2 linked regions of the Struthio camelus genome follow. The protein of the gene in region 1 purifies or fractionates together with the protein of each later gene. This does not show direct contact. Links are inferred from orthologs where the notes say so. Each region holds a gene or a part of one and is shown on either strand. Other genes may lie near its edges.

What was found.
Region 2: the proteins of DCP1B (region 1) and BAG4 purify together in Homo sapiens (affinity purification with mass spectrometry; 3 studies listed by BioGRID and IntAct, counting the BioPlex papers as one, with this or other methods). This does not show direct contact. The link is inferred for Struthio camelus from reciprocal best matches to the Homo sapiens genes DCP1B and BAG4.

Annotation. Positions count from the first base shown.
Region 1 is NC_090942.1:69,905,168-69,920,198, forward strand, and holds the start of DCP1B (mRNA-decapping enzyme 1B), read right to left. Parts: upstream 8,012-15,031; 5' UTR 7,962-8,011; coding exon 7,809-7,961; intron 6,616-7,808; coding exon 6,575-6,615; intron 4,017-6,574; coding exon 3,889-4,016; intron 1-3,888. UniProt on the Homo sapiens protein: May play a role in the degradation of mRNAs, both in normal mRNA turnover and in nonsense-mediated mRNA decay. May remove the 7-methyl guanine cap structure from mRNA molecules, yielding a 5'-phosphorylated mRNA fragment and 7m-GDP.
Region 2 is NC_090968.1:7,090,654-7,106,029, reverse strand, and holds BAG4 (BAG family molecular chaperone regulator 4), read right to left. Parts: upstream 8,205-15,376; 5' UTR 8,190-8,204; coding exon 8,067-8,189; intron 7,995-8,066; exon of another isoform or gene 7,824-7,994; coding exon 7,713-7,823; intron 7,302-7,712; exon of another isoform or gene 7,165-7,301; coding exon of another isoform or gene 7,100-7,164; intron 4,866-7,099; coding exon 4,605-4,865; intron 4,138-4,604; coding exon 3,898-4,137; intron 3,805-3,897; coding exon of another isoform or gene 3,684-3,804; intron 2,964-3,683; coding exon 2,463-2,963; 3' UTR 1,443-2,462; downstream 1-1,442. Other genes in the region: G protein-coupled receptor kinase 5-like, read left to right, coding at 8,593-8,638, 10,390-10,458. UniProt on the Homo sapiens protein: Inhibits the chaperone activity of HSP70/HSC70 by promoting substrate release. Prevents constitutive TNFRSF1A signaling. Negative regulator of PRKN translocation to damaged mitochondria.

The sequences.
Region 1 (15,031 bases):
CCTCAAACACTGTAATTTGAGCTTCTCTTCTGGCTTTCAAATGAATAACCCTAGTTTGTAGCCTTACTTTAACAGATAAAACCTTTTTTTGTTAAATAATGGATCAGCGCAAACAGTAACTGGCTGGTCTTCCAAATCCAGCCTGAAGAGTCCTGGGATTAGAGTGTAGGTGTCTGTACCAATGTTTTTAGACAACAGACTTTAGATCACTAAGACAAAACAAGATCATATGGAAAAAAATAGAAGCTATATAAAACCTAGGAAAGTGAAAAGATCAAATACTCCTTTTTTATTTTAAGTATTCATAAACCTTAGCATTATTATGTATCATTTTGAAAAACTTTTTCTATTGTAATCATATAGTGGGTGCAAAGCAGTCTTTCTAAAATGATAAGTATAACATGACAAAACGTTGCAGACTTGTCTCGTGCAAAAGTAACACCCTTTGCTGTCAAGAGCACTTACTTTACATTGTACCAGACGAAGATATTCAGTTCTACTGAAACGAAACTAGTTTCAACAAACATTCATAACACTGCAACAAATAAAAGTCTGGACAGGTCTTTCTTATTCTTCCCAATGCTTGCTTTTGTTTTTGCTGAAATTTACATTTTCACGAAAATCAAATACAAATCATCTTATATGAGAAAGGAACTATACCTTAAAACACAGAGGAAACTGTCCTAGTTATGTCACATCTAGTAAGATTTCTATGACAAACAGAGTAAGAAGTAACTGATTTAAATGAAAGATTAGAAAAGGCAACTTGTTTCCAGATCCCAATAAGTGTTACTTCCAAACTATCCAAGGTTGAGCCAAGTAAACAGCTATTTCTGAATAGTCCTCTATTAGTATCTGGAAGCAGGAAATAAAAATAACATTATAACATTAGTGCCTACGAAGGATAGGTTTTGACTGAAAATTCTATGTAATAAGGAAAAAGCCAGAAGCCTCCGTTTAGCAAAAATGATAACTAGAAGTTGTACAATAAAGCAAAACCCAATGAAAACATTTATAGCAAAAATTCAAGGTGGATATTTGCGATCATGATTAGATGAGAACCTAGTGAAGATGGATATTTAATGTTGAGGAAGTTACTTTATTTTATGTAGTAAAGACTTTGAAATATACAATAGGGGAGAAAAGGACTGAAGTTTGTGGAGAAATCATCATGTAAATTATCTGCATGACCTAAAGAAAATCTGGAAAGGTCAAAAGGGGTGGTAAATAACTTTATTCTATGGGCCTGTAAACCCAGTTTGTTCTGCAGACCTAACTGTTTCCATGGAAGTCTGAGAAAATAACAGGTTTTCTTTTGAAATATCAAAGCTTTCACTTTCTTGGAGAATTAATGATTAAACCTTTATAAGACTATTTTAGAAAGATAAGTAACAAGGGGTAACACGTATCCGTATACCTAGAACATACCTGATACTACCTGATGCCGTAAACCAGTGGATTTTTCAGTAAAGCAAACGTGAACCTTTTCTCACATAATGAAACACTCAAATTAACTAAGACATAGATTTCACCATAGTCAGATGGAGCAGTTAACTCTGGAAAAAAAAAGACTCACCAAAACTATTGCTGAAGCAGACTTTAGAAAACTAGGAGCGCACTAGCTGGGGTTTTGGTACTCTCTTTCTCATGCTTATCCTCAACTGAATGACAGAGCAAGGAGTGCCATGAGGCCAAGACGACACTCATTCTGGTAGCTGAGAGATCCTAACACGAAAGAAAAATTTTGGTACCTTCATATTGGCGCTGACAAACTGTCAGTGTAGGTCATCTCTGAAGACAGGCTTTCACCTCCCCTGCTCCAACTCCCCTGCCTCCATTCCCTTAGTCTGTTTGGTAGGCTTGTTGGATTTGTTCTTTAATGCACACTGAAAATTCTTTGTGGTAGTGCCTCCTAGTACAGATTTGTGAAATCTACTATCAGAAAGGAGCAATAGCTAATTTAAGTAAAGGAATTCCTTGGTGTGTATAGCTGGCTAGTCCATTTTGCATGATAAGTCTTAAAGCTGAATATCGAAGGATTCAGTAAAATTCTCCTGCACAGAAGAGCAGAGAGGCACCAATTTGCAGAGGCTGACTGGCAACAAATTTTTCAACAAAATCCACCTTTGAGTTGCCAGATAGAAATCCTGCCCTAAAACAACCATTGTTTAGACAGAAGAATCCAGAAAGGAAGCCTGCATTTTTTTGTTACACGATTAGCCAAAAAGGCCCAGGCAAATGACTTGAACAGAAGCCCACTGCTCAGAAGCATATGTTAGTACCTGTGTTTAAGACTCGGCAAACTTAATTTCTGACATCTCTTAGTGAACAAACTGTTTACACCTCAAAAACCAAGCAATCGTTTCTGCTATTAAAAAAAAAATTCAGTTCATATGCAGTATTCAGACTAAAGATTGTCTTACTTCCATTATGTCACCATAGAGAGTTATAATAAAAAACTTCCCTCTAACTATTTTTTATATAAATTGTGTCTCAACACAAATAAAAATTAACATAACTTGTATCTCAGCAAAAATAAAGAAATTCATAGCTTTACACTTCAAAAGGGAGATATTAGTATATGCATATACAAATTCCTACTGGGAATTTAAAACGAGATAAAAAACCCTATATACATAGAAAAGATTCATCAAAATCAGATGGGATAAATGGGTCTTGTGGTACTTAACATTGCTTAAAATCCTAATGTCTAAGTTAGCCTGGAGATGTATGTATTTCTTTTCAGTTTCTTTGGGAATTTAAAAGAGGGAATTTTACCTCTTTTTCAGCATATCAAAAACTCTCAGAAATAGAATTTTCATTTAAACTATTTGAAATGTTATTTCACTGTTATTATTTATGCCACATACTGTGTATGAGCAACAGAACTCACTCTTGATATATTTTCGAGCTCCACATTGAGTTTAGGAAAAAAGAAGATCTAGTGGATTATCAAACTATACTGCTTTGGATGCCATGACTTTCCTCAGTTCTTACTTCATTCAGAGGGAACACTTCTGGATCACAGTTCACATAAAGAATTTTTGGAATTTGTTCCTATGCACCAAGCACAAAATATAGATCACGCTACAGCTCTACTTCCAAGTACAGACAAACTTGTATATTTATAAATGCTCATTCACACATAATTGCATGTTGCAATGGTTCTGTGTATATTTGCAAGCAAAGGTACAGCATTCTCATGTCTTCCAACTCGTTTCTCAGTTTCCCTCACATTTGCCAATTCTCACATAGAAGCCTGATAATTATATAAGACAAGCACAGAGCCCAAAGTAATAACTTTGTCTCTCATCAGGGATTAAATGAGGCTCAACTCCATATTAGCACTATTTTCAGGTCAGTTACCCCTAATAGTCAAGGAGTAAGCCCTTCTTCAACTTGCTGTAAGGAGAGTATACTAGAGCTGGAGCAGAAGGCAGGGTTTGAATTGGCTGTTTTTGTCTGTCTTTATTCAGAACACCAAGATCAGTACATCACTCCAACCTTCGGTGGATTCTCTTTTATGACAAGACTTTCAACACTCACTGAAGTATATACAGAACACAAACACTATCCCATATGAGTATTCACACCCATCATGTACACTTTACCATAAAAATCTACTATTTGTCAATTAAGGGAAAGATTACGTGTTAAGCATGTTTAAATGCTTTCTTGAGAAAAGTGGTATTTTAGGAAGCACTGAGCGACTCTTCTCTTTCAGCACTTCAAACCAAAAAATGTATTCCTTCAATTATAACCATTAGCCAGCTAGTTTCAGCCCTTGAAGGCTGTAGTCTTCAATCACTTTGACTGCCTTAAACAGAAAAGAGACTCTGAAGAAGAGCTGACTACTTAAACATTTAACCCAACATATCACACACTTACATCTGGCATTTCTGTAAAGTAGAAAAGGGTCCTGCAGCTGGAAATCGAGGTCTTTAGTAATTGGTTCTGTTCGATTTTCCATGCTCAGCCTGTTCATAATTGTGAAGCCATGCCTTGGAGAAGCCGATCTGAAAATTACCAAGTCGAAATCATATCAGGTCAAAGAAAAATAGAAACAACCATAATCTTTTGTTGTATAGTTTTCCAAAATTGTTTTTCTTTTTTAACAGATATTTCAAAAATCTAATTCGGTTGTCAAGGAAGTAACAATTGAGTCTTGCAGTCTTTCATATAATCCTTTTAATTATTTCAAAACATTCTGTAAGAGAAATGACCAAAGCACCACTGTTCACAATAACTGCAGAGACTATGCAGCATCTGTGACACTACCATTTGAGGCCCAATGATTTAGTCACATCAATTACATATACAGCATTAATCATGTAGGCATGCCCAGTTTTTGCATTGAGTTATAAGGCCTACAACTTCTGAACAGGCAACATATTACTAAATGACACTCTGTCCCAGACCACTAGCATCACACTACCCAATCATCAACACCTAGCCTATGGTTTCTTGCTGGAGATGAAAACAGCAACTAGAAAGATTCAGTCATGGACCAGAGCACGGTCTGTTGTTTAATATTCAGATAACGATTGCATGTGACAACCGTCAGCCCAGATAGGATTTTCAATACCATCTAAAATATAAGAACATAAATCATATTATGCTGTTTCATAGGGGTTACACTCCTAAGTCAGTTAGATAATTTCTGTTAACATGAGCTGTTAACCCTACCACCAATTCTGACAGAAGCTATTACTGTCAAATTGAGTTTGACGCTAAAGGACAAGATAATGGCTAAATGTTTGGGAAAAGTGCCAACTCTGGTATTCGCTGATAGGTGGATGTCTCTATGAAACCCAAAGCACAGGAACTTGCATCACAGGATGGGAGGTAACAGAAAATTCAACAAAAGGTGGAAACCTGAAGAAGAATCCTTGTTTGCAACAGCCAGTACTTTTTCCCTCTTTTTTGTTTTTAAATAGTCCACTTCCACTGGTGTTAACCCAGTGGGAAGTCCGATTTTTGAAACTTCCTGAGAGTTCTCCAAGATGGGATAGGTGATAAATAATCCAGCTCAAGTAAAATGGTCACATTACTTCATTACAATGGTAATAAGGAAGCAACAAAGGCAACATCAGTTGCCTCCAACATGTGGTCTGTTGGTAATGTTTCTCCAACAAGATTTTATGACTTTGTTCAAAGCCACAGAAAATTCAAAACTGAAACTGATAGGGAGGTCAATGTATGATGTCACCCACAGCTCACAACCTGTTCAGTATTGTTCACTGTAGGGCAGCAAGGGTGGGAATTTTTGACGTAAATGGAAACTTCCTCAGCTTCCCTTCTCTACAGGGAACAAAAAGAACCATGGAAGAACACAGGTGCTAGAAATGCCAGGCCTACATGTTGTCAGTTCCAGAGATCTACATCCAACTTCCCAGAGAAATACTACTTCTATTGCACAGTACACAGCTAGGCACCCGATGCTATTGCTAGCACAAAGAAGGGCCAGTTCTTCCATCTTGCAGTGGTAACTTTAATAGCATCTCATATTATCTTTTTGTTCCCCTTCACTTACCCAAAAAGGAGGTTAGAAAAATTACTACTAATGATTCCTACTGCTGGTAAGAAGGAGTTCAAAAGATTAAAATCAGCATTCCCACCTCCCGCAGTTCATATTCTCTTGTGCCTTCTCCTTGTCAGTTTGTCACTTCATACATAAGACTCTTGCCCACTCAAAAGAATCCTTTGCTTTCTCAGTGCTCCTATTGGAGCCTCAAAAGCATAAAAGTTGAAGGACAAAGTCTGTTTACCTGCTTCAGTGTCCCTTCCAGCAGCTACTGCAAGATCTGTCAACTATGTTATTTTCTGCACTTAATATTAGTCATGCAAAAATTGGGGCGGGGGGACACTACTTTGGAAACCCTGTCTGAAGATAAGACAGGCTTTACAACAGATCTAGTACACAGAATATTAGAACGGAGGATCTGATGGATGCTCTGAAAAGCATTGTTTGTAAAATATCTGAACATCGTAAGGATTTCTCATCTCAACAGACCTATTCTTAAGTGGAAATATTTAAATGTAAGTGAAAAAACTGCAAATGTAACATACACCTAAACATATTAATTAAAAAGAAATCCTCCACAACCACAGCCATTGCAGAGCAAAAGCATTAAAAACATCCAAAACCTTGGGAGGAAATATGCATGGAAAATTAGTAATCAAAGACAAGTAACATGAATGTTCCCCTACACAATAAAAAAAAAATTTGTTTAAATCCTGTCATTCCCTAAACATAATGAACATCATTATTTGATTTTTTTTTCAGATACCTTTTAAAGGACAAATGCTACATCCTATTTAAAACAATATCACAGATTTCTCTGGTTCATCCATATTGAGTTTCAAATTATATTTTGAAGTCTTATTCACATTCAAGGTGATGCCTCCTTCCCAATGTTTTCTTCTATGCATTGTCTTCTTTCAGTTTTCAATTTCTTTTCACCTTGGAATACGACAGGATTTGAACATGATACTTCAACTGGCCAAACTGTCTCCTAGCTAGGTTTTCCACATCCACTTTTCATGTGCAAGCACTAAAATATAACATTCTTACCTTGCGTAAACAAACAGTGTTCCTTCCACATCAGTCTTCTCCTAAACAAAAGGAACGTTAAAAAGTTCAGGCATAAATAAGCCTGCATTATCTTTGTTTTAACCGTATCAACTGGAGTTACACCTCTCTGACTTAAGCAACGAAAAAATAACTAAACCCTACCTCATGGGCAGTGGTGATAGATTACAAATAGCATAGATCACTGTGCAGCTGATGCTAGTGTTATGACAACATATGAGAACTATTAGATCTGCTTTTTCTTTCTTTAATAAAGCCTCACAGTCAGTTCCTAATCTGTTTATAGCCTGTCAGCCAGGATAAACGATGAGACGTCACTGGAAACAAACAAGAAAGCACACTTAAGTGACACAATAGATACTGATGCTCAATATCCTGTCTATGTCTGGGGGCAAGTACTTTAGGACGCAATGGGGGGGGCTGTTTCCAGCTAAAGAGCCAATAACATGAGCGTAAACACTACACTCAAGTATGTTTGAGGGTGACTCTCAAATCTGATTCTGTGAAAAGGTTTTCATATAGACGCTGTCCTCATGAGCAACGTCCAAGACTGATTAGGGGGAAAACATACAGAAAGCATATTGCGCACATTCTTCAAACACGGCTGGGGGCACAGACCTTAAAACTCTTATAATAATAACAGTAATAGCAATAACCCAAGAACAATCCGTTAACAGCCTCACAAATTTTCAAAGGATTGCCCAAGATATTTTTTCTTAAACAGCACTTTTTTTTTTTAACCTTAAATTGCTTTGTAACATTTGCAACGCTGACAGTTTTCTGTGTATTGCGGGTCTAACCGTCACTAACCGTTTTCAAACAGGGGACAGCTCTTCTTGCTCACGGCCTGGTTCAAAACCCCATCTCCCCCTCCCCCCCCAAATCCTGCAGAGTAAAAAAGTCCCACAGACACTTCAAAGCCCGCCTGTTAGGCGCCACGGGGCTCCGCGAAGCCCCACGCAGCCGGCGGACAGGCCTCCCTCGGCCCCGCGAGGTGCCCGCGCGCAGCCGTCGCGGGTGGGGCGCCCGCCAACCGCCCTCACACCTCGGCGCCCCCCTCCCCCCACCCTCAGCGCGGGGGGCGGGGCCCCGCTTCTGCCCGCCCCTCCCCCTCCGCGCGACGCCCCGCCCCACCTCCCACCCCCCGCGAGGGCGGGGTCCCCACTCGCGCCGCGGCCAGGCCGGGCCCGGCCGGGGGAGGGGCGGGCGCACGTACCCACTCGTTGGCGCGGTGCCCGAAGGTGTAGAGCGCCACCTGGCTGGCCACGTCCACGATGCTGCTGATGTAGGGGTCGTGCTGCTGCAGCGCCGCCAGGCTGATGTCCAGCCCCTTGCCCAGCAGGGCGGCCCCGGCCACCGCCGCCGCCATTTTGCCTCCCACAACAACACAGGGTTCCTAGTAGGCGCAACCAATCCAATGCCGAAAGGAAGGGTGTGCTTCCCCCCCCCCCTCCCCGCCGCTTCCCTTCACTCCCGCCCAGTCGGAACGAGAGCGGGCGGGAGGGTCGGAAACCAGCCGCTGCAATCGAGCGCCGAGTGCCGCTCGCTCAGGAGTGTTGCCCTTGGTAACAGGCAAGCTGCGGGCCCGGCCTGGCTGGCGGCCGTTGGCCCCGGGCTCGGGGAAGCCGGTGGCGGCCGGTCCCGGCCGCCCGCCCCGTCCTCAGCGCCTGCCCCGCGCCCTCGCTTGGCTCCCGCAGCCGGGCTTGGCTGGCCCGGCTGTTTGTGTGCTCCCTTTCGTTTTCCAGCCTCTCAGTGCTGAAAGGCTCAGAGGCCGCTGACTTCCTTGTCGCAGCAGGCAGTTGAGATCTGCCAGTAACAACCAGCCAGAGGTTTAAAAGAGAGAGCTAATCTCCACAGAGACTTGCCACGAAGTTGCGAGAATTGGGCGTATCAAGCCAGGCGTCCAGCATGCGCATACACTACGCCTGTCAGCGCGCCGAGGTGAAGGCGTGGTACGCTCCAAAAATCTAGATCCTCGAGAGAAGGGAGAGCCACAGGAAAATGTGGAATTGGAGCCTCGTATACCCACGAGCTGATGTACGCACAAGAAAATTCAGGCATAGCAGGGTGCCACTGCAGAGAATATATGTGCAAGAGCGCACAAAGTTAGCGTGTGCGTCTGTAAGCGCATGTGTATTTCCTGTGTCCTTACCAGCACAACGCACCCCTCGCGTGTGTGGGAACAGAAGCTGGTTAAGACCTATAAGTACACATAATTCTATATTTGCTGGCATACGCTCGGGCGTATTTCTGCATAGCACTTAAGCAACAAAGAGCACATGAGTACCCACCAAGCAAACAACAGAGGAACAGACTGATAGGACCGTAAACTCAGTTTTCCTATCAACCAGAAGTATTTTCTTATTAATCTGTTATATCAACAATTTACAGCAAATACATCAGCTTTCTGTGGCATGCGGATAAACTCAATACATACTGTTACACGTGAAAGATCTGGTTAACAGTCCGGCCTGACATCCCTGTGAAAGGGTGACTTTTTAACTCTGGACTTCATCACATCAGACTGCTGTAGCACTTTTGCAAGGAGTTACCACTCTGCACAGCAGCAGCAGGGCAATATATTTTCTTCTAAAGAATGGGATACTCTGGAATAACTAAAGGCAAAGGTAGTGCACGGCACCTGTTTGTTAGTTTGCAATATACTGGATGATACATTTTTAAAAGGGTAGTAGCTGGACGTAGAAAAGGAAGACCTCCATTTTGTTTTCCTCTTGCCTTTGCACCCTGGGTCAGGTGGGACAGAATAAGCAGAGACATCTGCTCTGCGAGCAACTGGTTGAGCCCAGGGCATGAAATTTCTGTAGTGTAATATGGGGACAGGAAAGAGCTGGGAGACAGCAAGATAGGGATTTGTAGTATTAAATGTAGGGACAGTGAGTCTCTTGAGTTAGGAACAGACATTCAGCTAGCAAGAGAAAAGTCAGATAAAGAGATTTTTCTCTGAGACTTAGGAGGGAATGTGTAGGTTTTGCTGTAGTCCAGAAAGCCACTGAAAATTGCCTTACTAAGAGCACGGATCTACAGCTTCCTCTGCAGGTATATATTGTGTGGGGGGGGAAACCTCTTTAGAGACTTTTATTATGATCTGCCTTGCTCTTATTTTCTCTTTTTCTAAAGCTGCTTTGTTCTAGCTAGGACTCTAATGAAACGTAGCTTTGGAGTTTAAAAGTTGTTTAGGTGTTTTTGATATACTCATGGTAGAGGAAAGGTTCTCAGCTGTTTTACTGCAAAGCTCTGGCCGACTCGTAGATCCTGTAACAGCAAGGAAGATGCAATAGTTCGTGGTGGACAAGGGAAACTACCGTGCTTGGTTTAGAAATGACAGGGTTAAAATGGTAAGAAAAAGAAAAAGAAGTAAGTAGGAAAGATAATTTCTGTTGCTCAGGTAGTGAACAGATCCACAGTCATTTCTTTTTGGTGTTAAATGATCTTCAATTCCCAGGTTCGAGGCACTGCCAGTCACAGTCCTCCTCATGTGCTGGAATTTCTCATTACCATCCCCTTGCCGATTCTTTGTCATGTCTCCTGCTTACAGGAGACGTTTGTCACCAAGGCATGGAAGTGTCACTTGGAGCCCTACTTCTGCCGTTGCCTTGCAAGATGCCTTTGCTACCTCCAACAGTAATACTTTAAAAAAAGGTTCCCCCACTTGTGAAGCCTCTTTCAATTTTTACAACTTCTCTTGTGTCTGTTGTTGTCCCTTTTGTCAGGCCAAGCAGTAGCCAACATTTGAGACCTTGAGACAGGCTGACTGGGTCAGGTATGTCTCTTGCGCCCTTCTCTTCGCATACGAACAATGCACTAACTGTCCTGTTTCCCTGCACACCATGGAAAAAAAACCCAACTGTGAAGTCAAAATCTTCAAGTAGGCCTGTCAAAAAGTTTTGCCTGTCTGTTCTCAGTGCCCTATTCATGACTGCGTCTCCCCTTTAGTACCAATTCCTTCCTGGAATACTGTGTTTTTCTAACAGAGCTTGACAGGCAGTTCCCCAGCCCTGCGTTTATAGTCAGTGAATTTATATTGCTTCTGATCAGGCTATTTCATATTTCTTGCTGCGCTGTGTGGAAGCTTCTGCTGGTTCCAGCTGTTTTCCTGTTTAAGTGGGACATAATTGCACCTTCCATTTAGCCTGAAGCAAAGGTACTTAATAAAACTATTAGCTTTACCCTGCTTTATGGAATCACTTGATAGTAGACTTAAATTTTCCAATGAAACAAAGTCTTGTAAGTAGAGAAACACTATACATTCTCCCTACATCTAAAAAGTTAAGAACATTTTAGCAAAAAGTCACAATTTTAAAAGGTTGAATCTTTAAACTGTATTTATTTGCTTACATCGGTAAGTCAGTAATCCAATGGTCTATAATAACTATCAAATCAAGTTAGAATGATTTTACTGTAATTTGTTTATGAAACAAAGTCATTTTTTAGCTTTGAAAATGTCGTAATTTCATGAAGTATATAATTAGAATGTCACGTTTTTGTCTTCCACCCACGTGGATACTATTCTATTAAAAAACTATGTTTTTGAAACAGTATGAAAGGGATTTTGAGTAGGTAATATCCAGACTGATGTAAGGCAAAATCTATACAGCATGCCATTCTTAAGGTCTCTGTTAATAGCAAACACTAAGTAAGCTATTTAGGCCAAACCATTTCACAAGAGTTGTTCAAACCAGATTTTAAGTTCAAACCAGATTTTACATCTTTGCTTCACATTTAAGAATCTGTGTCACTTGTGAAGACTGAGCCTTTCCTCCTGCAGCAAATTATTGACACCGACAATATGATTTCACATGAATTCATTAGGTGACAATGCTGAGTTTATGCAGCCCCTGTGCCAGGTCCCAGGCATTCATTCCTGCCGTGCTGGCATCTCTGTACGATACTGGCACAAGTGCATGTGTGGCCACAGCATGAAGCAGTCAGACTGGGAGCTGAACTGATTGAAAAACAAATGTTCATCCTGCTGCTGAGATCGCAGATTCAATTGACTGCTCTCCTATCTGTTTACATACAGTTCCTTCTTTGAGTGATTTTTTTTTTTTTTTTTTTTTTTTTTACTAAATGGCATGTCTCACTTAGGAAAATGTATAGCGTTGAACACCCCATTTGCTCCACTTCCTCATGTTGCACTCCTCTGGAGCTAATAGCTCATGGTAGTTGCTCTTTGCTTCTTATTCCTTCCTCAAGGCTGCCATAATTTCCTTCTCACTCTGACCAGTGGCAACACCGCTGCCCCTGCCAGCAGAAAGGTGCTGAGACAGCATTAATAAGCTCATCTCACTCCGTTCACTCCACTTCAATGTCTTTGCTTAGTGCTTCCCAGCATGCCGGCTTCCTGGAGAACAGTAGGTGAGTAGGTGGCTCTTGAGGAGCCGGACAGGTCTGACAGGGCTGGTTCACCCATGTTTCCCATGTCTCTGGGGATGTGCTTGCGCCTCCTCAGCAAAGTGCCTCTCACTGCTGGGGAACCAGTGCCTTTGCAATCTACTGGAGGCTGACGACATCCCTTCCCAAATGCTGTTGAAATGCATGGTGTTTTTACCCCACATTTACAACAGGCTCTCAGTAACTAACTTCAGAGTGTGCTTTCATCAAGCTGAAAAGTCTAAATTGTTGGTTGTATTGTTGGACCACCTTTTAATTCCAATCCTAATGGGTAAAGCAGTTTTAGTCTTTTTGTTAGTAATTTACTACTCGCTGAAGGATCCTTAGCATATACAGAGACAGACTGCATAGTTTCATCTGTGCAATTATTCAAAAATTATCCCCAGACTAAAATTAAATCTGATTAGTTTCATTCAAATTCAACCTCCGAATAAACCACAGCACGTGCAGTTGTTAGCATCCATATGTGTGTGGTTAACATTGCTCCCTGGTGAAGTTTATGAGACTATTTTGAGATTTTCTGCAAAATGTTAGTCCACACAAGAATAGGATGGTATTCTTTGGCATTGTTACTTTGGAAATTCAGATACTGTGTCTGAAATGATTAATTACAATTTGTTGTGACTTTTCCATAAAACCTTGTGTTTTTGTGTATAAGGACCTGGGTTCTTACCAAAATACTATTGCTTGTTTTGACTTACATTTTGCTAAGTGATTCTGTTAGTAACTTCTAAGCTTTTTTTTTTGTTGGTGTATATTTATTTACAAGATGCTTAGCATTAGCTGTTTATAGGCCCAGCTTCTACCAATGGCATGCCTAGAAAACAATTAAAAGAAAATTAACCAATGTAGTTAGCCATAGTGTAGTTTTGTCTCTATAACTTCCTATGTAGATATTCTTCTGTAGTGAAGAATTCTTTTTGGTTTAACTTTAATCACTTTTCAAAAGGCATATACTAAGCTGAAAAAAAGATCTAATATCAGGAAAAGACTATGTATTTCAGGAGCAGGAAGGGAGAACTTTTACCGATAAAATTCCATTGAATTAGAGTGTTATATAGAAAAAAAAATCTTTTTAATATACATTTAATCTGTAAAAACTCTGATTTTTATCAGCGTTAGATTTTAAATGTTTTAAGTGACTGTAATAATATTTCAGTGTTTTGTCTTTTAGTAGGGCAGAAATGAAAAGATTATAGACCCCACAAAAGATTTTTGTATCTGAAATATTTTTCCCAACTATAATAGTTGATTCAATAAAAAGTGTTACCTCTGCCCATAAACTTTGCCTGACTTCTATATGATCGCGAGTAGAATTTCTATCAGACCTGTTAATAAAATTCTAAATTACTTCCTCCAGCCTCTCCCAAAGCCGATAAAGTTATAAACATACATTGTGGCTTTTCCTGCCAGAACAAAGAAAAAATCCTGTCAAATCTCATTTTTTCAACTTCTTTCATTATTTGATGTATCAGAAATCAGTGACTTCCTTCAGCAATAGTCCTCTTAAAGTTTAACTTTACAAGCTACTTTGCTGTCAATGCAATGCTACCTTAGTTACAGTTAAAAAATTGACACTGGATTATATTATGAGAAGGTACTCTTTTGGGACCAGTATTTGAGCTCCTCAGTAATTCTGTTACCACAGCTGTATGTGCTTATAATCAATAAAATACTGTTGATATCCATTACCTTCTTGCCATCCTGATAAACTGCCATATACTGATTTGATCCATCAGCTTCATTCTTTACACAGTTGATTGGCCAGGCAAACCACCTAAACACTGATGATAGGCCATGCCTGCTATCTCCGATAGGTTAATGAGATATAATAGTAATTATACATTTCCAAGCACATCTTTCTAGTAATCACCATTTAATTTGGCAGAATCATACACCTGTAGCTCTAAAAGAGCTATTTTCCAACAAGTTACAGAGAAAATTGCCTCTTTTATTTACTAATGTGAAAAGTTCCATTAGATAATTGCATTAAGCCAGGACCTCATTTTTACACCTCACCTGGCACAGGAGCTCTTGCCACGTTAGAGAAATGGTATCATTACAGAGATGTGCTGCTGCTGCTGCTGCTAAGGAGCTGGTGGCAAGCCTAGAGGAGTATCTGGTCTGAGTCTGGCTGGGGCAAAGGGATCCCAAGGTAAGGGTTCTGGAGAAGGGGAATGTGCTCTTGCTGCTAAAGTATCTTTTTATGAAAACAAATTCTGCATATTGAAATTAGCTTGGCTGTGTAAACCATGGAAGGGAAAGCTCTGAATTACTATCACACCTGTTGCTTTATCAAGGGAGTTCACATTACTGCATTCTCAACTGACAAAAATGCTGTTGCTTCTTGCAGTGAAGAATGTCAGTGTCTATTATAGACTCTGGTAAAGGATTCCATAGCATTAGATGCAGCAAAGGTGAATGGAGTTGGTGGGAGTGTTGTAGCACTGCTGAAATCCAGAGTGAGCTACAACAGATAAATGATTATATAAGCAAGGAACTGTACGTGAATTGTGTCTACGTGTATATTGTTGTCATAGATGTAACGTAACTGAGTAAAGTTATTTTACACAGTTGACTGCCTGAGTTAAGGTGGGTGTTCTGCCTCAAGTGTCCTCAATAAAATTTTGTAGCTGCTTGTGCAGATTCCCAAAGGGAAATTCTTGTGATGCTGATAGCTACTTAGTATCTGATTCTGAAGGTAGCTAGCGCTTATGAAGGTTCTCACAAACGTATATTCCGTAGTTAAAGTTAGGCTTAAAAGCTGTTATATTTTTCTCTTAATATGGGATCAGCTAATCCATAACAGTATGATCTTTCCATTTGGCATATCATTTTGGGTATTCATTTTTATTTATTACTGGCTTTATTTTGCTAGCAAGTATCAGTGTGATATTTGTTTTAAAATAGATTTTCTTTCAAACTGAAAATTGACTTTTTTTTTCTTTCATTATACAGACTGTTGCAATAAGGATCCACAATTGTCTCTGTGCTTTAATGCAATTATTTGCCTTTTATTGAAAGTTA
Region 2 (15,376 bases), on another chromosome or scaffold:
GAGCAAACTACTCCCTCTGCCAGATACCTCTGTCTGCTGAGCAGCAGCACGGACAAGGAGGATACAGGCATGAGGGTGTCCAGTTTTACCACTTGCCAGAGTTAAAAGCTTGGGGATATGCAGAGTTAAATATCAAGGTTGCCTCTCCCAACAGCAAGATTCACTGCAGTACTTTTAATTGTAAGGTGAAAAAGAGAACTCACCTTTGTTCATCTCCTGGCTGTCCATCTCTGATCTAATAATCAGAAGAATGTTCATCCCTCCTACTACTTAACTCTTCATATGAGCTAATAGCCTTTTAGTAGTCACATAGTGGAGAAAAGTGCTGAAAATATTAAGAAGTGGGCTTTTTTTTTTTTTCAGTCACATACTGGGACAGCTGCTGACAGCCATGAGAGAGAGATTCTAAAATGATAGATTTTTATCAAGTAAAGTTACAGCTATCTAAAGGTAGTTCACAGCAGTCTCTTGGAAAGGATTTCAGGAGACAGGATTGAAAAAGACTTTCAACTATATGATCAAATTAAGGGGGTACAGACACCACAGTGCTGCTCTTTGTTCCTCTAGGGTTAAAGAGGCACTGATCGCAGTGCTAGCTGTGTGAAAATCATCCTTACTACAGATATTTTTCCACAAAGAAATGCACACCAAAAGCACATATTAACGTGCTTTTGCTGCTGACACTGCTGTCTTTATCAGAGAAAGAAAGGTAGCATTCACTGGGGTTGGGCCATTGTTTTCTGTGTACAGCCACTAACCAGAACCTCCTCCATCCTCAGCATAGTACCAGGACATCAGTCTGCTCATTGTGATCTGCTTTATCTCCCAGTATAAATGCTGATCCTTAAAAGTCAGATTTCCTGCTGAATCTGAAGCATGGACAGCTTGGCCTAACTGCTTTCTGCTTGACAGGAGGACAAAATAAAATAGCAATCAAGTATTTATCAGTCTCAGGACATTATGTTCAGCTCTTTCCTGGCTTACCTCAGAGCAGGCTGTTTCTCAAGGCTGCCCACCACATGTGATCAGAGGCATCCAGAGAGATGCAAAGGTCAGTCCCGTGCAGCACAACCCTAGTCTATTACTGACCTGGAATCTGCAGGGCTCCCTCAGGACATCAGCTGGCTGCCAGCCTGCAGGGCACAAGGTCAGAGCACTCCCAGCTTCAGGCATGCTAGGAGCCCATCCAGATCACTTCCAAAATACAGCCACTGTTCCCAGAAGCACAGCTGAAGGCTCCTAGAGCATCTGCACTGCTTGGGAGCAGGCAGGTGCTGCAGTGACCCCAACAATTCTCTAAACCAGCCTTTTCAGTGGTAATTTGCTGCAGTCATTCCCAACTGTCTGCTGCTGAGATAGTCTGGTATTTTGGCTACAGGCAGGTCCGAGTTACACAATCTTACACACAGTTCCTCCTTAAAGAAGGGCGACTTTGAGACATCTTAATTACAAAATGACATTTAAAAGTTGTCAGGGTTTATTATCTTGTCACACACAGTAATGACTCACTTAACATGTTGTAACCAGAAGGGTAATAGTAGGCCGAGATCTTCCCTTCCCCTGTGTATTGTACAGAGCCATTGAGTATGGTATTGGCAGTGGAATACCAAACTTGCAGTATGTGAAAGGACGTTACAATTAAAAAGTGGATTTTTTACCCAAGGGACCTGAAAAAGCATTTCCAAACATCCTAATGTTTAGGGCTGCTCTATCACATTGTTCTCCTGTTTATACCTGTCTTTTTCAGTGGCAGAATTCACAGAGTTCCAGTCTGTGTTCCTATTTGCATACAAACCATCACAGAATAGCTCTTCATGACAGAGAAGAAACTGTGTGATGTGACATTCCCTTGAGCTGCTGTGCTGACTGGGCTGCCAGCTTGGTCCCTTCCTGCAGCACTTCAGTGCAGCTACTTGAGTGCACTTAAAAGCAAACAAACAAACCCCAGAACAATACACAGCAGTCCTCGTGGCAAGGGATGCAAGCTGAAAACACACACAGCAGTTGACAAGCCCAGAGTCTTGTTTTATGGCTGCAAACTGCAATGCCTCTGTGACAAAATTTGACAAGCATTCCTGCTGTTTAAACAACTATTGTGGCTCCAGGAGGTACCTAAAGATTGGGCCTGGTATTGGGAACTTTATTCTGTACAGTGATTTTCCTCCTGCTGATGAAAAGCATGTGGACACCCACAGAGACCTCTACAGTGGTAGAGTACTTCAGTTGGTGCTGCTTTTCCATAGCCTGGAACAAACAACTAGGCTGCTGCTTCAATCCTCTCCTCGTTTGTCCATAGCCAATTTATTTACTGGGGATGGGCTTTTTTTTTGTTTTTTTTGTTTTAAATGAGGGTTTATTGCTTTTTCATTATCAATAGTACTTAAGAGAAAGAATTGATATTTAACAGAACTAAAACTCTTTGAGAACTCAACAACAGGCTGTGTGTTGTGATTGATATGCTTTCACAATCCCTTTCTTTCCAGTTTTTCCAGAATGGCCTGAATTCTGTGGACAGCTTCTTTCCTAGCCTGCCGAACGCTGTCCTGGCCACCAGTCTCTATAGAATCCAGTTCCAACAGCAACTTGGTCAGCATCTCTTCCAGAAGCCGGTAGGATTTATCTGTCTTTTTCCCTACAAATTCATCCACCTCTTGTTCTAGTTGTTCAGCCTCCTCCGTAACATGTAGGATTCTCTGAATCTCTGGTGGGATGGCTGCAGAATTTGTTGAAGACTGGTCAGCAGCTTTACAGCCTGCCTCCTGATTCCCAGCCGAAAGCTTCCGATTTACATTGTCATACATTTGGGGCTGTGCACTGTATTGCACTTTGGAGTTTGAAAGGGATGGCTTGGCATTGAATGGAGTCGGCTTGTGATCATTCATTGTCCCAGAGAGCTGGTGATTGACATCAGAATAGTAGTTCTGCTGGTTTGCACTTTGCTCAGGTTTATCATAAGCAGTATCCTGCAATCAAAAGCAAAAAATCTTTAGGTGCCTTTCCCCTAATGCCAGTTTTTTTTAATCTCTCCTCTTGCATTAAAAAGGTGAGCAAGAAGAACCCGAGAGAGCTGGGAGGCAGGTAGCACTGTGACTGCCTTGAGGTGTTTGTGCCTAGAGCGTGGGGCAGAATGGGGTTAAGCATGACATTACTAGGGATCTGGGCTGCATTTTCTAGAGTGTCATGCACCATGATGTCATAATATGGGAATGGTGAGTCACCGAGTACTCATTACACCTGAAGAGGGCAAATGCTGAATGGATTTTGGCAAGAGCCTATTTGGATGTACTGGAGGTGACGCTCCTCTGCAGGGAGCACAATTTCTAACAGTTTCCAGATAGCAGTAACCCCTGTCCATGTAGCTACATCCTCCAACAGGGCTCTGCCAACACTGCTGCCTTGGTACCAAACCTCTGGGGAGCCATTTAATTCTTGATCAAACCCAAAGGAAGGGGAGATGAACCACCCCCCACCAAATGCATCACTTCCATGTATTTTTTGCTTTAAAAAATAAAAAAAAATCCTTAGAATACTTGAGTCTGCAAACTGACTCAAAGATTAATCGCACACCTCTTCACTGGGGGATTTCTGACAGCGTTAGCTGCTTCAGAGAGAAGTATTAGACAAGAGAGACCAGGTCTGACCCATTTCAAGCCATGCCCTGGAAGGTCAGTTATCTCCAGCACCTTTCTGGAATTACAGCTCCGGATTTTGGTCTTCAGTACACAAATACTTCTGCTTTGTTTCCGCGTAACAGAAGCCAGCTGCAGCCACAGAAAAGGGCATTCCCAGGAGACAAAACCAGCTCTTGAGGAAAGCAGCATAATTTAAGAGATTAACCGCAGTCAGGATGCGGCAGGCACACAAGCTGTAACAGGCCATCAAAGCATCAACTGTTACCTTTGAGTCCTGAGTGGGAGGACAAGGAGCTCCACTGCCAGTCCAGGACGGATGCGATTCGGAGATGAACGGGTTCCCATGTGCCGAAGCAGCAGGCCACGCGTAACGCGGCTGCATCCCGTAGACTGCAGAGGGAGCCCACGATTCCTCCTGGGGTCTGGGCTGCGGTGCAGGCCCCTGCGGGGTAATGCCTGGGTTGGCTTCTCCGTAGGGATACTGCGGGACAGGCATTCCTGGAGTCTGGAGGAAGAGGTAGGGAAAACAAGCGTTACCCCCAAGTCATTTTCAGTCAGCCAACAGAAATACATCCTGATTGCTTCAACCCTCCAAACAGCTCTGGGAAGAGCTGCAGTCAAACTCACTACCTGGTTTCTGCTTTTCTAGCCTATAAACTTATAGGCTTTGGAGAAGAGGGTGATTACAAGTTTTTATAAGAATGGGTGGGCTAGTTGTTCAAGACATGAAAGCTATTTAAACGATTTAAAGCCCAACTCAGCACAACATAAGCAAGTCCAAACACCCAGGGATCCATCAGGGGAGACACTCTGGACTTTTCCCTCTGCTGGGGCCCAGTAAAACTTCTCACATGGAACCAAGCACGCTCTGAGCACAGGAAGCTGAATGGTTGTCCCAAAACCAAAGTCAGGCTTACTGCAGCAGCCCAGGGCCCAGCTGGAAAGTTGCTCTGGCCAGGGCCTGCCTCTTACCTGTGGCGGGGAGTACGCAGGAACTTGCTGTTGCCTGAGAGAGGAGCCTTCTGCCGGGCAGTCTGGTGGGCTGTAGCTCCAGGGAGGAGCAGGTGATGGCGGCCTGTACAAGCCTGGGGACTCCGCAGGGTAGGGAGTCCGCGGTGGCCCGGAGGAATAGTAAGCTCGTGTTTGCGGCAGGCCGGCGTAATGCGGAGCAGAGCCGGGAGCTGAGGGGTATGGGGTGCCATATGCTCCATTCGTGTAGGGAGAATCCACCCCCTGGGAAGGAAGAAAGAGGTAAAGCGGAGGAAGCATGATGAACACAGCGCCGGGCAGAGGGGCTCAGCTCTGGCAGAATGGCATGCACAGGGCCTCATCTCAGGCCTGGAGCCAAGCTTCCATGCCAGATGCCCACACCACCCCGGAAACATTGCTGCAGGAACCACACTCTGTTCCCTCACCCAGGACTTTCAGCCTAGCTTCCCATTAAATAGAGCATGGCTTTTCATGGTGGTGGAAGGCCGAGAAAGCAGACACAGAGAAGGGATTTACAGTACTCCATCAACAGGGGCTTGCTGGGAACCAGCTAGCTCACAAGACCATTTTCCTCTTGCATTTTCCTCCTTCCTTTTCTCAAAAAATGTGGGTATCTCTCAGCACTCTCACAAAAGCTTTACAAACGTGCAGCCAAAATACCTTTGTGTGCATCTTCTGTCCTTGCCTCTAACAAACACCAACAATAGCCTTTTCCCACTTCAGCTGCGGATTCTCGCTGAAGAAAGGCAAGCTGAGCCTTCCCCATCTGTTCTCTGTCCTGGCATCCTGTCCCTCCTACTCAAAGGCATCACCAGGGCTCAGCACTGGTCCCCATCTCTTTGCAGTCCAAAGAGAACTCCACTAAGGACACAGACCTCCAGCAGGCAGCATCTGGCCTGCTCGTCCCATTTTTGGGGATCAGGCCATAACTGATTCAGTCAGGCCGATTCAGTCTGTGCCATGCTCCAGCTTTCAGCTGTTAGATTTAACTAGGTCAATTTAGTCACTGATTGAAACTGATTGGTAGATGAAAAACGCTCCAGGGAAGTTCATTTCCTTTTTCAATCTACAAACAGAAACAATCCAAGATGACTAGATCTACTCGCCTTGAGCCTAAGGAACAAGGCAGTCGGATCACTAAGCTGCAGATATGGCTGCCGCAGTAGAAACAGTCAAATTTGTGAGAACTTTTTATAGGCAATATCTGTATGTCCAGAGCATTTATGGTAATTTATTTGAACATATTTGAGTACTTAATTTATACTGAACATAAGTGTCTGAGCTATGGTAAGACGGAAGCTCAAGTGTTAGCATTTCAGCAGCTCACTGACAGCTCCCTAGTAGCTTTGGGCTTCAGTTCTTTGCCTGTGAGCTGTTTCATAAAGGAGAGACCGGATCACCTGCTCCAGGACTTAGAAACCAGCTAAAGCAAACCTAAACGTCACATAGAATTAGAACAAACCATAGTTACGTCTGTACAACCAGCAGACGACCTCTTTGGAAAGAGTAAAGCCCTTTTCTTTGCACGATATTTGTGCAATGGTCCCTAAAAAAAAAACACTACTGCTGCATTCAGAACAACAAATAATAAATCCCAGGAAGAGTGAGTCACGGGACATAAAGGGAACATGTAAGCTTTTTTTCCTCTTCCTCTCTTCCTGCAGCAGGAGCAGCTAACTCGTGCCTGCCCTCTACCTGGGGTCAGACACGTGATGTAAATCGTGCCATCCTGCAGACTGCCAATTCCTTCCCAGGGATGAGGTTGACCGTACACATATCACTGTCTGTGCAGCTGACATCTTTAGTTTGCTGTGCCTTTAGGTGTCGGGCATTAGATTCCCGAGTTCCACATTCACATCGGAGAACAGACAATTCTGTTTCTCGATAAAGAATCTATTAGTTGGGACCAGTGTATGCATTACATGGTGATTCCCAATTCTTACCAGTCATCTCCTGGCAGCAGACAAATCAAGGATGGCAGCGTTGCCCCAGCAGTCTCTTCATTAAAAAAATATATATATAACTTAAAAATTTCACCTTGACCTGGATATTAAGATAAAACTTTCTACCCTGTTCATCGTCTTCCATTTTCTTCAATTAAAAACACCTGCCCCAAACCAGCAGAACGGGAGACCAGATTCTTATTTAATGCAAAATGGTTTGCACATGAAGCTACAAGACCATTAAAAAAAAAAAAAAAACACAGTTACACTTAAAGACATAAGACATGAACTTAAAAATCCAGACAGTCTGGCACAGCTAGATAACATTATGATTCAGCGTCAAGAATGCTTTGAAAGTAACAGGTAATTTCTGGGTAGGGTAGAATCTTCAAGTTGGTCCTAACACTGCTCATAACTAGATGGCAGAAGAACGAATCTGTTTATTTCTGTGAGCTGAGAAGATTCAGAGGCCACCCACGCGCAGAAGGGAGCACAGGAGTTGCAGCAACATTGAGGGCAGACAAGGCATCTCACCAGCACGTAGCCGTGGGGGAGAGGACAGGGAGAGAAACCCGCGGAGCAGACCGAAGTGCCGCCATCCGGCAACGAAGCACGCTCTCGCTCCAAGCCCTGCTAACTCAAGGCGAGCAGGGCATTAGAGCCACGGATTTCCCAGCTCCAGCTAGTCACATCGCCTCTCTGCCAGGCCCCTCCTCTAGGCATAAGGCAAGAATGAGATCCGTGAGATCTCAGAGTCGTTTGGGGTCATTTCTCCAGTTATGGACGGGGGGGGGATCTGTGATGGGTGTCCGCAGGCTATGGACCTGACAGTGCTTTGTGCAGGAAGGGCCGGGAGCTGTCACCGCTTGCAGCACGCCGTTTGCTAGGGCGTTCCCGAGCGGGCTGCTAGCCTCCGTTCAGTACTTTGAAGCGCCAGTGCAGAGCATTACTGGAAGCTCCCGGAGCAAGGGGGAAAGGGCAAAGGGAGCCAAACGCCCTGGGACGTCTGCCGTGGGAGGCAACCGAGAGTCCCGGCTCCCGCTTCCAGCTCAGCCGGTCTCAGCCCCAGGCCTCCAGGCGTAGCCAGGCCTCAGCAGACACCTCGGGTTTCGAGGGAACCACGAGGGGAAGGTTTTCCTCGCCGTACCTGGCCTTGCCCGTCAGGCGCGGAGGGACAGGGGCTGGAGGCGTAGGCGGTTGGAGGCTGCGCGGCCGCGCTCCAGTAGCGGGGCGCGTACCCAGGGTACGGTGTCTGCTCCTAGAGGGCGGAAGGAAGGAGACTCGCTTTCTTGTAGCGGCGAGCGGGAGGCCGCCCCTTCCGGGAAGGGGGGCACGGGCGAGAAGCGGCGGCGGCGGCCCTGGCGCGCGGCGACCGCCCCGACGACAGGGCGCTCCGTGGCTGGCTCGCAGCGCTGGCGCCCGCCCGCCTGCCTCGCCCCCCGCCCGCTTCTCCCTCGCCGACCCTCCCCGGCGGCTCCCGGCCCCCGCCGCCCGCCGTTACCTGCGCGCCGCCCGGGCGCTCCCAGCCGCCGCCCCCCGCCGCGGCCGGCGGGCAGTAGGACCCGGGGGGCCACGACGGGCCCTGCGCGGCGCCGCGGCCCGGCGGGCACCCGCGAGGCTCCATGGTGGGCGCCGCTGGGGCCGCTACCGGGCCGGACGTCGCCGCCGCTACCGCGCCAATCGCCTCGCGGCGCGGCCGCAACACCCGCCAATGGGCGGCGAGCGCCCGCGGATATCCCGCCCGCCTCTCCGCCGGCAGCCAATGGGATGAGCCCCAAGGGCAGCGGCGGCGCCGCCCCCGGCGCGGCTTAAAGGGGCAGGGGCCGCGGGGGGCGCACCAGGCACCGGCGCCCCTCGCCCCCGCTCCCGCCCGCGGCAGGGCGGCCTGGCCGGGGGCGTGGCCGCGACGAGGCCCCGCCCAAGAGCGGGCGTGGCCGCGACGAGGCCCCGCCCGGAGGCGTGGCCGCGGGGCGGTTCCGGCGGCGCATGGCGGCGCTTCCGCTCGGCGCGGCGGCAGCGGCGGCACCATGAACTACATGCCGGGCACGGCCAGCCTCATCCAGGACATCGACAGTGAGTGTCGGCCGCCGCCCTCCGCGCCGCCCCCGCGGGGGGGAGACGGGAGCCCCCGGGCGGGGACCTCGTGTCGGGCGGGGGAGCCGCGGGTGGGCCCCGGCGTGGGGCGGGTGAGCCCCCCAGACCCCGCCGTGGGCACCGACCCCCCGTGGGTCGGCTGAGTCCTCTAGGGAGCCTCCTGTGGGCCTCCCCGGAGCCCCCCCGTGGGCACTGACCCCCCGTGGGTCGGCTGAGTCCTCTAGGGACCCCCCCGTGGGCCTCCTCAGACCCCCCCCGTGGGCACTGACCCCCCGTGGGTCGGCTGAGTCCTCTAGGGACCCCCCCGTGGGCCTCCTCAGACCCCCCCCGTGGGCACTGACCCCCCGTGGGTCGGCTGAGTCCTCTAGGGACCCCCCCGTGGGCACCGACCCCACGTGGATCGGATGAGTCCTGTAGGGAGCCCCCTGTGGGCCCCCTCAGAACCCCTCCGTGGGCACCGACCCCACGTGGGTCGGCTGGTTCCTCTAGGGACCCCCCCCGTGGGTACCGACCCCACGTGGATCGGATGAGTCCTGTAGGGAGCCCCCTGTGGGCCCCCCAGACCCCCCCCCGTGGGCACTGACCCCCCGTGGGTCGGCTGAGTCCTCTAGGGACCCCCCCGTGGGCCTCCCCAGACCCCCCCCCGTGGGCACTGACCCCCCGTGGGTCGGCTGAGTCCTCTAGGGACCCCCCCGTGGGCCTCCCTAGACCCCCCCGTGGGCACCGACCCCACGTGGATCGTCTGAGTCCTCTAGGGAGCCCCCCCGTGGGCCTCCCCAGACCCCCCCGTGGGCACTGACCCCCCGTGGGCTGGCTGGTTCCTCTAGGGACCCCCCCGTGGGCCCCCCAGACCCCCCCGTGGGCACCGACCCCCCTTGGGCTGGCTGAGTCCTCTATGGAGCCCCCTGTGGGCCCCCCATACTCTCCCCCGTGGGCACCGACCCCCCTTGGGCCGGCTGATTCCTCTAGGGAGCCCCCCGTGGGCCCCCCAGACCCCCTCCGTGGGCACCGACCCCATGTGGGTCGGCTGAGTCCTCTAGGGAGCCCCCCCGTGGGCCTCCCCGGACCCCCCCGTGGGCACTGACCCCCCGTGGGCTGGCTGGTTCCTCTAGGGACCCCCCCCGTGGGCCCCCCAGACCCCCCCGTGGGCACCGAACCCCCTTGGGCTGGCTGAGTCCTCTATGGAGCCCCCTGTGGGCCCCCCATACCCTCCCCCGTGGGCACCGACCCCCCTTGGGCTGGCTGATTCCTCTAGGGAGCCCCCTGTGGGCCCCCCAGACCCCCTCCGTGGGCACCGACCCCCCTTGGGCCGGCTGATTCCTCTAGGGAGCCCCCCGTGGGCCCCCCAGACCCCCTCCGTGGGCACCGACCCCATGTGGGTCGGCTGAGTCCTCTAAGGAGACCCGGGTGGGCCCCGGCGTGGGGTGGGTGAGTCCCCCAGACCCCCCCGTGGGTCAGCTGAGTCCTCTAAGGAGACCCGGGTGGACCCCGGCGTGGGGTGGGTGAGTCCCCCAGACCCCCCCGTGGGCCCCGACTCCCCGTGGGTCAGCTGAGTCCTCTAGGGAGCCCCCCCGTGGGTCCTGGCATGGGGTGGGTGAGCCCCACGTGGGTCGGGTGACCCCCCCCCAGACCCCTCCCGTGGGCCCCCGCTCGGTGGCCCTGGGGCTGCCCCCCCGCTGGGGCAGCGGTCAGCGCCGCCGCGGCTGAGCGGGCTCTGGGCTCTCTTTCAGAGAAGCACCTGGTGCTGCTCCGGGACGGCCGCACGCTGATCGGGTACCTGCGCAGCATCGACCAGTTCGGTACGTGTCGCCGGCCGCGCTCGGCTGCTTTCGCCGCTCCGTTTGCGGGGCGGTTGGGGGGGGGGGGGGGGTTGGCTTGGTCCGCGCTCAAACCTTGCTGCCAGCCAGGAGAGGAGCCGGCGCCTCCTGCCCCACGGCAGGAGCCGTTTCTGAGCAGTCCGTCCGCAGCCGGGGCACGCGCGGCACCGAGCTGTTTCCTGATTTTTGGATATGTTTCCAGAAAGAGCTTTAAAAACACTGTTTGGGGTTACAGAGAGAAAACAGAGGGGGGGACGTTTAGGTGGTTTTCTCGCTCGCGATGCGCCGTCTGCGCTCTGCATCAAACCCGGGTGTCCTTACTGGCGACTCGGCAGCCCTGAACGTGGTTTGTGCTGCCGCTCTGGCTTGTCGCTCGCCGCAAGGAGGAGCCAGGCCCCGGCGGGCAGGGTGCGCGAGGGGACGGGGCAGGGGACGCGTGGGGCTGACAGCAGGGTCCTGGGCCGGCGGTGAACTTGCAGGAGACACCAACGCTGGGGCTGTGCGCGGAGCAGAAGTTCAGCCGCGCTGCGCCTCTCTGCTAGGGCCGTTGGCAGGTGGTGCCTCTCCGCCCGTCCCCCGCTGCGTAGCGTCAGGACAGGGAAAATACGGCTGGCTGCCGTGTGAAAACGCAAGCGGAGTTTTTTGGTTCTGGCCCGAGTGAAGCTCTGCCGCTGTCTCCAGCCCTGCGGCCGTGCTGCAGCAGCTGTTTGGGCTCGTCCTCTTGCAGCGTTCGAGGGACCGGTCTCCAGGTGGAAACGTTTGCACCAGCTCTTCCTGAGAGTAGTGGTTTTTGCACGTTTGTGGTTCTGCGCGAATGCCCAAATCTGGCAAATTCCCTACTCTTTTCCTCCTCCTTGCCCCCACCAGAAAGGGCTTTGCAGGGGTGAGGCACCTGCCAGAGGATCCTCGTGGCAGAGCAGAGGCCTCTGAATCGGGCTGCGCGGCGCTAGGTGAGATCGGGAAGGCTGTCAAGGGAGCCGCACGCTTGCGTGTTTGGCTGAAACAAGGGAGAGGCGAAGAGTTTAGCCTGGACTTGGCGCGATCCAGGGCAAGTATTAGTTGTGTGTTCAGGGTCTGCTCTCCCTGTTCACTTAAACAGGAGTAAAATCAGCCCACGGTCTGGGAGCCTGGTCGCAGCGTGGGCTGTGTCTGGGTCAGGCAGACAATGCTTTTTGCATGTGCCAGTTGTGAGCAGAATTACATATTTCCTTGACTAAAAACAATCTTAAGTTCTAATGAAAAAGGTGCTTGCTGTGCATAGAATGATATGATTTGAAAGTCAAGCTTTAAAGCTTGTTTGTGTTGTGTTTTAAAAATTCACTTAGGTGTTCCTCTTCTATGGGAGCTGGCATTGTAAACATCCTTTCTGAGCATGTACCCCCTCTTGTTTATGCGAAGGGTAGCTGCAGGGTTTTTTTTTCCGGATTAGGCAACTTATTGCAAAAAACAGATTTACGAGGTCTCTGGCTTTATAGATAATGCATCTAACCTTGGTTGCTAATTGGAGAAGTATCTGTTCTCTGTCAATCACTGCGGTTTAAACAAATACATCAGATGTGATTTGGTGGTTTACTGAAACTTCTTGTAAAAGCTGTGTGGCTGTTTCCCTCCCCTCTGCTCCCCTTCCCTTCCCCTCCCCTCTGCTTCCCTTCCTCCTTCATGATTTTGTCAGATGTTAATTTGATGCTCTAACTTCTCTTCTTGTGAAATCAGCATTTGAGAAGTATCTCTCAACAGCCTGGGATTTTTGTGTTTTATGTCTGTGCTTAAGATAAAACGTCTTAGTCCTTGCCCCAGAATCTACGGCACCAAAGATAACATCGTTTTCCCCTTGGCCCTGACTCTCATGCTGTCAACACATGGTGTTTGGGTGAATAGCAACCCTATCAACAGTTTGAGTTTCCTGGTTCTGTTTCCGACGCTGCTGCTGCTGCTTCTCCCTGTTCTGAGCTTGCTTGTCCCATCTCTGTCCTGTGTGCACAGGCCGTAAGAAGGAGTCCCTGCCCTCAAGCTCCTGTTCTGCCCATGCTGCAGCTCCTAGCGCAAGGAACTGGGGTTTCAGCTGCTGCCTGGAGGTGGCTGTGTCGATTGCTAAAGCTGAAGTGCAGCAGCCGCGTTTCAGTAGGGGAGAAATCTGGTTCCTTTCATGGTCTGGTTCAAAGGATCTGCCAAGAAGCAGTGGAGGTGCTTATCAGTGACCATGCCATCTCAGCTGTGGGTGTGTTGCCTGGCTCAGATGAGATGTTCTCTTTAGCTAGAAACAAAGTGAAAGATGGATGTTTTCTTTTTCTCTTGATCGCTGCAGCAAACTTGGTGTTGCACCAGACTGTGGAGCGCATTCACGTGGGCAAGAAGTATGGGGACATCCCTCGAGGCATCTTTGTTGTGAGAGGCGAGAACGTTGTTCTGCTGGGGGAAATAGTAAGTAAGCAGCTCTTTCTGCCTGGCTCTCTTGTCTACTGCTGGCCTGGAGCAATGGCTCAGTTGTGGTCCAGGGTTAAATAGCTGGTGATATCTGTAGCTACAATTACTCCGAGCAGCACTGCCAACGGAGCTGGGTCTCTCCAGCCAGAGACAGCATGTGGATTTTTTCTGTTGCTCGTGGCTGAACCAGTGTCTGCTGTGAAATATTGCCACCCTCCTGCTGGAGAAGGCCGTGCAGGGAGAGTTATGTAACGCTCAGCGCTGCTTCTTGGAACGTGCCTTGAGGTGTTTGAGAGAGGCTGAAGTGTTTGAGCACGTACTGTTCCTGCAGTATAGAAGGCATCGTTTAGTCCTAGCTGGCAGTCGGGCTCATTCTGAGTGCATCCTACCAAAAGTGTCCTAGTGTAGCTGAGTGCATGGGAATCAGGTGGGAAGGGTTGCAGCCGAGACCCCTCTCCCTTCAGCTGTGAGTCGTCTTGGATGATTTGGGGGTAAAGAAGACACTCGGAGCAAAATACGAACTGGTGAGTGAGTGCGTGCCTGGAGGAGACCTAGAAAAGCCCTGGCCTGCATGTGGCATTGCTTGAGGGTGTCATTAGTGGCTGGCTGTGGAACGGTCACCTCCCTGCTGCTGCATACTAAAGGACACTGTTTGACATGCATTCAGGAGGAGTCAAGTACTGTCTAATTTTTTCTTCACTTTGGCCCCCTTGGGTTACACTCAGCTTGGCTGTTCCGCAGGAATCCCCCTCTCCCTTGGACTCCTGTTTTCAGTTTTTCCTCCAGTTGCATTCAATCAGGGTTTCTAGGGCCCTTTTCTCAATGTGGTTTCCTGCCCACGTTTCCACCTTCGGGGTGCCTGCAGCACCTCCCTGTTGCATCGCATCTGGCTCTTGACTGGACTATGGGAAGATGTGTGGGCACAAGCTGCCCAGACCCCACCGCAGTCCGGCTGCATGGCTCAGCTCCTCACCTCAGGAACTGTCCCACTCCAATGACTTTGGCAAGAGAGATCAAGCCAGTCATCTTTGGTACAGCAATGCCACCCCTTCCTGGGGGCACAGAGCCTTGCCAGTTGTTTGCAGGAAGCGCTCGGATGTCACAGAAGTCCAAGAATGTAGGGTTGGTGTGTTAGCACCCCTGTGGAGATGTGAGTGCAGATCTCCACCCTGGACCTTTGCAGTCCAGGTCCACCCAGCTGCTTCTAGCCCCCTCAGACCGGTTCTGCCTCTGGCCAGCGTCATGTGAGCGATATGCGCTCCGCAAAGATGAAACCGGCCTGGGCCTGAGTGTTCCCTGCAAGCTGAGCAGTTTCAGGAAAGCCTCGCGAGCAGAGCTTCGGGTCTTGGATGTAGCATCTGCTTTGCGATGCTAAATGGCCTGTTTCTCTTGCAGGACCTGGAAAAAGAAAGCGACACACCTTTACAGCAGGTCTCGATAGAGGAGATCCTGGAGGAGCAGCGGGTGGAACAGCAGGCCAAGCAAGAGTCAGAGAAGCTGAAAGTGCAGGCGCTAAAGGAGCGGGGCCTTTCAGTCCCGCGGGCAGACACCCTGGACGAGTATTAGCTGTTCTGCCCCTTGGACAGTTTCCTGTGAGGTGGAGCGAGGAGTGCTTTATGATTTGACCATGTGTTGACAGATCTCTTTGCAAAGGCTGTTTTTATTTTAAGATTGTTTTCGATGACAGATAGCTGTTAAAATCATGCCTTTAGTTTCTCTTCACAAGACCCTTGTTGAGGAGTGAAGGTGTTTGATTATCCTTTAAGGTAACCAAATGCTCTGGTGTGAGTAAGAGTTTATGTTGTTCAGGAGGCAAATCACTTGATCCTTTTTTTATTTTTTTTCCCCCTTCTTATGTGACTCTGAATGAGAGCGTTCCTTGACATGTAAATAAATCCTCAATCTCAACAATGTCGGTTTTGCCTGTGTTTGGGATTTGCTGCGTTCTCGTCTTTCTGGGTTCTGGATGCTGGATCATGGGACAACCAACCTTCTGTTAGTCTTGAGTGGAGACTTATGCCCACTGTCCTCCCTGCCAGGGATGCTGTGAACCTGGGGGTGCCCAGGATGGCAAAGAGAGCAGGGCTCTTGAGTTTGGCTGTAGGTTGTGCTCAGTACTAGTAAAAGCTTAGGTCTTGCTGTAGTGACCTCCCTCTGCCCAGGGAGGGGAGCAGGACCTCTTTGCACCGTGGTCGGGTACCTCCTGCCCCCCGCAAGAGTGGGAACGCTTCTAGGCTCCCCATCTGCTCTGCAGGTCGTCAATGCTGATACCTGCTCCCATCTGAGCAGGCCTCAGCAGCTGAGCTGAGTCCACTAATGACCCACTAATTGTCAGACCTGTCTCACCTGAGCTTGGCACAGCCCCCTGGGGCTCTTCCCCTTGCAGCAGAACCAGCCCCACTTCCTCTAGCGGCATTTCTTAAGCTTGGTGGGTTGATGATGGTGGCAGAGGCTCCAGAAGGTGGGAGATATTCTT